Xenopus tropicalis: one gene and its partner. The protein of the gene in region 1 purifies or fractionates together with the protein of each later gene. This does not show direct contact. Links are inferred from orthologs where the notes say so. Each region holds a gene or a part of one and is shown in the gene's direction. Other genes may lie near its edges.

The links.
Region 2: the proteins of cd2bp2 (region 1) and ddx23 purify together in Homo sapiens (affinity purification with mass spectrometry; 6 studies listed by BioGRID and IntAct, counting the BioPlex papers as one, with this or other methods). This does not show direct contact. The link is inferred for Xenopus tropicalis from reciprocal best matches to the Homo sapiens genes CD2BP2 and DDX23.

The regions. Positions count from the first base shown.
Region 1 is NC_030685.2:13,551,659-13,556,103, reverse strand, and holds the start of cd2bp2 (CD2 antigen cytoplasmic tail-binding protein 2), read left to right. Parts: upstream 1-1,512; 5' UTR 1,513-1,561; intron 1,562-1,577; exon of another isoform or gene 1,578-1,658; intron 1,659-2,691; 5' UTR 2,692-2,692; coding exon 2,693-2,761; intron 2,762-2,906; coding exon 2,907-3,045; intron 3,046-4,074; coding exon 4,075-4,232; intron 4,233-4,445. UniProt on the Homo sapiens protein: Involved in pre-mRNA splicing as component of the U5 snRNP complex that is involved in spliceosome assembly.
Region 2 is NC_030678.2:136,000,878-136,005,183, reverse strand, and holds the start of ddx23 (probable ATP-dependent RNA helicase DDX23), read left to right. Parts: upstream 1-1,293; 5' UTR 1,294-1,418; intron 1,419-2,171; 5' UTR 2,172-2,239; intron 2,240-2,773; coding exon 2,774-2,967; intron 2,968-4,306. UniProt on the Homo sapiens protein: Involved in pre-mRNA splicing and its phosphorylated form (by SRPK2) is required for spliceosomal B complex formation.

The DNA.
Region 1 (4,445 bases):
CAAAATTCCTCCAGAGCGCTGTAAAAGACTCGTTGCAAGTTATCGCAAACGCTTGATTGCAGTTATTGCTGCTAAGGGTGGCCCAACCAGTTATTAGGTTCAGGGGGCAATTACTTTTTCACACAGGGCCATGGAGGTTTGGATTTTTTTTCTCCCTAAATAATAAAAACCCTCATTTAAAAACTGCATTTTGTGTTTACTTGTGTTATCTTTGACTAATAGTTAAATGTGTTTGATGATCAGAAACATATTGTGTGACAAACATGCAAAAGAATAAGAAATCAGGAAGGGGGCAAATAGTTTTTCACACCACTGTATATGTTACTCCTTGTAGATTGTAAGCTCTTTTGGGCAGGGCTCCCTTCCCCTCCTGTATTGGTTATTGATTGCTTTATATGTTACTCCTTGTAGAGTGTAAGCTCTTTTGGGCAGGGCTCCCTTCACCTCTTGTATCGGTTATTGATTGCTTTATATGTTACTCCTTGTAGAGTGTAAGCTCTTTTGGGCAGGGCCCTCTTCCCCTCCTGTATTGGTTATTGATTGCTTTATATGTTACTCCTTGTAGAGTGTAAGCTCTTTTGGGCAGGGCTCCCTTCCCCTCTTGTATCGGTTATTGATTGCTTTATATGTTACTCCTTGTAGATTGTAAGCTCTTTTGGGCAGGGCTCTCTTCCCCTCTTGTATCGGTTGATTGCTTTATATGTTACTCCTTGTAGATTGTAAGCTCTTTTGGGCAGGGCCCTCTTCCCCTCCTGTATCGGTTACTGATTGCTTTATATGTTACTCCTTGTAGATTGTAAGCTCTTTTGGGCAGGGCCCTCTTCCCCTCCTGTATCGGTTACTGATTGCTTTATATGTTACTCCTTGTAGATTGTAAGCTCTTTTGGGCAGGGCTCCCTTCCCCTCCTGTATCGGTTACTGATTGCTTTATATGTTACTCTGTATGCCCAATGTATGAAACCCACTTATTGTACAGCGCTGCGGGATATGTTGGCGCTTTATAAATAAATGTTAATAATAATAATAAATAACAAATGTAATAAGTAAATTTAGTCAAATGGGAGTGGTATTTAGGGGGTGTGGTTGCACGCAGCGTTTATTTTTGTCCCTGTTTTCAGTTTCAAAATGTTGGGAGGTATGTAACCATGTCTGATTCATTGATAAAAGCGACCAACAATGTATTTACTTTCTCTCCTGGGGCCCTTCCATTCCTGGCTAAATGACCTCTCTCTGGTTATAAAACCTATAACTATCAGGAAAAAGCCCTGTAACCCAATCCCATTTTAATAACCAGTGGCAATAAATGACAATTATTTTTTAATGTTATTACTGGTGCTTTAACTTAAATTGTGCATTAATAAGTCAGTGGGATGCACCAGTGACAACTACAAGTCCCAGCATCCCCTGCAAGACGACTACTTTGTGACCTGCAGCAGCTATACAGTCATATTTCAAAGCGATACAACTTCATTTGCCCTACTTCCGGTTTGACTTCATCACTTCCTGCGCGTCATCCGGCTGCGACACCCGCGTCTCGACGAGTGCTTCCGAAAAACGAAAGGTTTGTTGGATACTTACCGAGCTGCGCTAGAACTAAGGGGATCTGGGAACTTGTGAGGCCTTTAAAGTTGCAAAACACCGGCCCTTATTTACGGCAGGTCGGCCCTGGGGGCGGGGCCTGTTTGATACGAATCCCCTCTCCGTTATTTATGTTATAAACAGGGTTATACTGAGGAACCTGCAGGGATCTCTCTTCCCCTCATGTTTCCTCACACCGAGCGGTTTTCTTGCATTTTCCTGGTTTTAGACTTTCCCCCCCTTTATTTTGTATACAAGTTCCCTTCTACTCACAGGGTCTCTTAACCCAATAAGGGGTAATTATATCTTAGTTGGGATCAAGTACAGGTACTGTTTTATTATTACAGAGAAAAGGGAATCATTTAACCATGACATAAACCCAATAGGGCTGTTCTGCCCCAATAAGGGGTAATTATATCTTAGTTGGGATCAAGTACAGGTACTGTTTTATTATTACAGAGAAAAGGGAATCATTTAACCATTAAATAAACCCAATAGGGCTGTTCTGCCCCAATAAGGGGTAATTATATCTTAGTTGGGATCAAGTACAGGTACTGTTTTATTATTACAGAGAAAAAGGAATCATTTAACCATGAAATAAACCCAATAGGGCTGTTCTGCCCCCAATAAGGGGTAATTATATCTTAGTTGGGATCAAGTACAGGTACTGTTTTATTATTACAGAGAAAAGGGAATCATTTAACCATTAAATAAACCCAATAGGGCTGTTCTGCCCCCAATAAGGGGTAATTATATCTTAGTTGGGATCAAGTACAGGTACTGTTTTATTATTACAGAGAAAAGGGAATCATTTAACCATTAAATAAACCCAATAGGATTGTTCTGTTCTAATGGGTTTCCAGATAAGAGGTCCAATACCTGTAGTCTTTCATAGGGATGCACCGACTCCACTGTTTTGGGATTCAGTTGAACCCTGAATTCTTTTGTGAAAGATTCGCTGAATCCTGGTACAAAGGGGCTAAAGAGAACTCCTCCTTTCCGCTATCATGCGATGAAAAGTCATGTGACTTTAGGGATTCGGTTTGGCCAGGCACTGGCCAAATCCTGTATTTAATGCATCCCTATTAATAGTGCCTGTTGCCTTTTCTATAGGATGTCTAAAAGGAAGGTCACATTTGTGGATGGGGCTGAAGACGACGATGATGAGCAGAAAAAAAAAAGGGTAAGTTAAGAAGCAGAGCCGAATTGCACCATGTCGCTTTTCTTTTTCCAAACTGATCCCAGTAACCTTTATAAAGACGCCATTATATAGACGGTCTGCATTAGCCAATGTGCATGTCTGACACGGTCTCACCCCTTTATTGAAGCTCCCGGATGTAGTGGGAGGCCCAGGAAGTCGATTTAAAGGGAAACATTCTCTGGACAGCGATGAGGAAGATGATGAGGAAGAAACCAGTGATGGACGTTCTGCAAAGTATGACATATTAGCCCCCGAGGATGTTGAAGGTGAGATTCCATAGCAGGGTGCCCGCTTTGTGCCTCTTGTAGTATTATAAACCCCTTTACAAGAAACAAGCGGACGCATAATATAAGGATGTTTGGGAGAGGGTAGCTAAAGATACCTGGTACTGAAACATCCTATGCATAAGTTGCCCCCAGGCCACCCTAGTGTATTGGTACCCACAGTAATGATGAGGGAGTGAGCTGCAGGAGCAGTGCTGCTTGCTTTGCTTATGCTGAGCTGGAGGCAGGCCAGTAATTCCATAGGCTGAACTGCAATTTTAAACTCTACTGCAACCTATCAAAAGATGGCACTTCCTCCAGCTCAGCATAACTTGGGCACAATGGGCTCTCCACTCCCAGTCACCTAAAGTCATATCAGGGTGTCTGCTGCAGTAAGTACCCATCAGCTGGGGGTGGCTTGGGGCAGTCATCTACAAAAGAAGATCATGGCCATTTTGCGGACTACTTCATACTGGATATTATAGTAAAGTCTTTGTACAGGCTATGAGCAAAGCAAATGTTATGCTGACAGATACCATAAAACTATGGCAGCATAGGGATTCCCCTGTACTAAGCACAATTCAGCAGGAACAGCCCCCTAAGTTTGCTCATAGCCTGTACAGAGAGATACCATAAAACTATGGCAGCATAGGGATTCCCCTGTACTAAGCACAATTCAGCAGGAACAGCCCCCTAAGTTTGCTCATAGCCTGTACAGAGAGATGCCATAAAACTATGGCAGCATAGGGATTCCCCTGTACTAAGCACAATTCAGCAGGAACAGCCCCCTAAGTTTGCTCATAGCCTGTACAGAGAGATGCCATAAAACTATGGCAGCATAGGGATTCCCCTGTACTAAGCACAATTCAGCAGGAACAGCCCCCTAAGTTTGCTCATAGCCAGTACAGAGAGATACCATAAAACTATAGCAGCATAGGGATTCCCCTGTACTAAGCACAATTCAGCAGGAACAGCCCCTTAAATTTGACTTAAATTTGTCTTAAATTTGTCTTTGCTCTTCTTCCTCTGCAGGACAAGAAAACGCTACTCTGGAGTCGGAGGGTGGTGTTCCGATTACTCCTTTTAACCTGAAGGAGGAAATGGAGGAAGGGCATTTTGACTCTGAGGGCAACTATTTTTTGCGTAAAGAAGCTCAGATTCGGGACCACTGGCTTGATAATATAGACTGGGTGAGTGAATATGAATTGGGAGAACATGAAACGTAATAGCAGAATTTGAGTCCCTTCAGGTGGAACAGGGTGATTACAATCCAAGAATCAAGTTGGGCACTGTATGAACACAGTCACATTAGATGCCTCTTGGAATGCACTGAACCCAGTATTCAGTTTGGGATTCAGGCAAGATTCTGCAGAATCTGTAAAATCACATGAACACAGAAGTAA
Region 2 (4,306 bases), on another chromosome or scaffold:
CTTGAGCAAAATCGCTGCTGAACCTGAAAAATATCTATACATGAGTACATGAGGGGTAAATTCCAAGCATCTTTTGCAGTCCATGGATTCCCCAAAACACATCCATGTCTTCAGCAGTTGGAAAAAGGCTGGAAACTATGCTTTATTGTTTATTGGACCAGTGTTTTTTTTATGTCCTTATGACGTGGCTGTGTGTATATACTTTCCAAATCACTACCTTGAGGGGACAAAGGCTATTGGTCCAAGACCGCATCAATGTGCTAATGCTCTCCTCATCCACTTAGGGCCCCATACTTGTGCCCTATATTAAACCTAAGAACCTTTACCCTCAGTTATCTTAAAACCCACTAGAAAAATGACCCCCATTTCATTAACAATTGCCTAAAGCATCGGTTTTAAAGGAGACATATTGGATAAATGGGGAAAAACGCCTATTTTGTAGGCAATTATGAATAATATACGGTGCTGGTTTCCCTTTGGGCTAAAAATTAATCCTATCTGTAACAATGGCCCCTTTACTGGAGCTCCCTATAGATCCTCTCACTTCTCAGTCAAGTGTGAAATGAAGAGTGGGCGTGTCCTAACGGCCCCTGCCAGAGGCACAGTAGGAGGGGGAGAGCCAATCACAGCCCTGCACTCACACAAGCAAAGACAGGCTTCAGTTCCCTATCAGGTCAGCCTAGCTGCTGATTGGTTCCTATCCTACAGTGTGGCTCCCCAGCTCATCCAGAGAATTCAGCCAGCAGGAAGTGGAACAGATGGGCGGGGCTAGTGGGGTTTGGGGGAATTTCTCAATAAATCAGTTAGAAACACAACTTTTTTAAGCACAATCCTTCTATATCTAGAGGAGTATAATTTACTGGTACATTCATCATTTATATAGGATATGTCTCCTTTAAGTAATTGTTGCTTGAAATTTCGGTAGTCAGTGATTCTAAGCGATAGTTGTCTCATTTGTGGGACCAGCTAGATACCAATATAATGAACAAGAGGTGATTTCGAGTGTTTGCCCACCCACTTTATTGTAAAATTGCTCAGCGAATAAAACAACTCAAAAAAAAGCCTTACTGCCACTGTCATTAGGGTGTTCCTTAGATCTTATCTCATATTTTACATTCCGGTTTTATTCTGTACTGTATTATTGTATAAGCTTGATATCTAGGATAAACCCAACCTAATAAAACTGCTCAAGACTAAATGAAACATACCTAGCCTAGCCGAGGAGTCACTGTACGCACCACGGCATTTCGGGAAATTGAGTTTTTTCCCCCCCCTAGCGCGCAGCAGCATTTCGGGAAATGTAGTTTTACATACGTCACGACGCACGCTTCCTTCCGTGACGCGTTCCCAGAATGCCACGGAAATGCTCTAGCCAACATGGCGGCGGAATAGAAACGTTGTAGAGTGAGTTTATGGAGGTAAGTGGCCGAAGCTGAGAAGTTGGTATATCTGTTTGTGGTGAGTCGGAGTTAGCGGAGCAGGTGCGCTTACTGTGAGTCCGTGTATGAGAGCTGGCTTGTGTGCGTGTGTCTCTTGTATAGGGCCCTTTACACACTTCACTATGTGTTGCCTTACTGCTGCGTTTATTGCGATAGTCTACTCCAATACACAAATTGACCCGCCACAGCAACATGACGGAACCTGTATCACCATTCCTCGCTATGGAGGCGTATGGCGTTGAATCAGACTGTAGTATGAATACAGCCCTTTTTACCTTCTGTTTTCTAAGCCGCATTGGACTGAGGGCATGTGGGCTGCTAGGCTGCAGGAGGCTCTGCTTAAATAAATCTGTGTCTCTGTGCTTCCAACACTTGCCTCCAAGCCAGAAAAGTAAAAATGGGCACCTACTTTGAGGCTAATAGGAGCAACATGAAAAGGGGTAGTGAGCAACATGTTGCTGATGAGCCACTGGTTGGGCTATACGGGGTGCAATAGCAGTCTCCAGGGCAATGCAGTTTGTATTTTCACATTGCCTACATGTGGTCATAGGAGACTGTATGGGTTTGCTTCCAATATTTATGATTTTACAGCTTTGGCAACATGTCTTTAGGAAGTATGTTTGTAAGTATTATGAGAAACATTTTATTAAGGGCTAAGTCTGGAATTTGGTGGTGTGGTTTAGAGGATGCTTTCATTTGTGTTGCTTGATGATAATCTTTTCTGATTTACAGATCTGCTCACGTTCCATGTTGAGGCTCTAACAAAGAGACATTACCTGTATAAAAGTGATTAGGTGAAAGTAAGTGTTCAGGTTATTTTAATTTATATATACTGCATAAAATAATTGTTGATATTATTTGTTGAAGCTGCCAGCTAGTCTCTGCGGTGCACTGCATGTACCACAATCTGGCTTGACCTGTGCCTCTTCTTATTCCTGTTTGCTGACAGCCCTCAACAGTTAATTGAGGAACCATACAGTCTGTGGCCTCAAATCAAAACCTCAGACCTAGTTTGAAATAACCTATTTGATAAAGACACTTATCTAGAGATTCATTTGTCAATGCTGCTGATGAGCACCCAGTAGCCTCTATACTTTTTTACATTTATTTTGGCATGCTCTTTAGAGGATAAGAAAGGGGTTGTTACTGGTGAGTGCAAGTTTGTTAGTTAACATAATTACTTACCTTAGGCCCAGGGCTGGTGATCCTTTTGTTGAAAAACACATAGGGCCAGCATACTATTCCCTTGAGAACTATTTAATTTTTTTGTGTGTAATTTCTGAATTGTTAATGCCTTTCAATCATGTCTCACCATTGCTTGTGATTATGTACAGATGGCAGGAGAACTGACAGATAAAAGAGACCGTGATGGGTCTCCATCCAAGGAGCGTAAGCGCTCCCGTTCCAGATCAGCTGAGAGGGACCGCGATAGGAAATCATCACCCTCCAAAGACAGGAAAAGACATCGCTCTCGGGAAAGGAGAAGATCTCGAAGTCGTTCTCGTTCACGCTCCAAATCAAATGAAAGGTGAGTGACTGTGTAGAAATAGCAGTTTATAATTTAATAGCATTAGTTGTTGGTGATTCCTCTAAACATCAGGAATTTTGGAATTAAACAATGTTTGCATAAAAATTGTGTTTATAAAAAATGATGCAGTTTTAATGGCAGTGACAATAACCCCTTATAAGGCTAACCTGGTGATTGACCTGAACTTGCAGCCGTTAAAGCACTGACTTTAAAATGCTCACTGCTAAATCAAGAGATTATGCTGGCGGGGTCAGAGCTATCATAAGGTTAGTGTATGAAGGGGTATTTGTGGGCTCTTTATTGTCCACACACGAAAAATCGCGTTGGGTGGCAAAATGATAGGTTCTTTTATTACCTAAAAGTTGTTTCCTCCAACAGAGGTTGGTATTTTTGCCGATTCTATGTCACATGTACATAAAGCTCAAGCTGGGCATTTACTCATTATGCCCAGCAGTGTTGCCCGAACATAAGGGGATTTATATAAACATTACTTTTTCTAACTGGCAAGAGATACCTTGTTTTGTTTAAGGATAAAGAAACTACAAAATTCAGCTTTCATTTTTGCTTTATAAAACCTTTCCCATGGCCAGAGAACTTGCCAGATATGTAAATTCAGGTTTTTTTGGACCTAATTAGTTTTCTCTCCAGCACCCCCACACACAGTTCTAGTATGATGGCCAGTCACAGATTGCGTGGCAATAGCAAATAAGCTTAGGCATAGAAATTTGTACCTTTTATGGAGAAGGAAAGTGGTAAACATTTTTAGTTATTTTTTAAAAAAATCTCATGTAGATATAAACTAGTGTCAGGCCTTGTAGCATTCTGCCTACCAGTCTGTAGGGTTATATCATTGATTAATCTGCGAGGTAATACTTTCAAACAAATACATTGTGGTTGATGGGGCCTTATTCCTGTAGCAGCTGGCACAAAACAGAATAGGCATTGGACTGGACACACAGTATGCATATTTTAACAATCCATCCCCACAATCAATGCCATAGATCTCAACCTTTTTGCTTGTATTTAGGGTTAACTTTTTTTTTTTTTGCAATGCACTTTAATATGGTGCCATGTGACAGATGTTACTGTGGACAGTGTGTTTATTTACAAAGTAAACTGTAAACTGACATACTGTAAATTAATCTTGCGTTGCAAGTTATTTCATTGTGGGAATTTTGTAAGCATATAGCTAAATGTATATCATGCAATGAGTTATGATTACTTGCTTTTTTTTTTTTTACTTTTGCAGACTTTCAGAGCCTTTTCTAGCTGCATAAAAAGCACAGTGGTTATAGATAGGCTTGTGCTGAGACATAGATGTTAGCTTTGAAAAGACTAA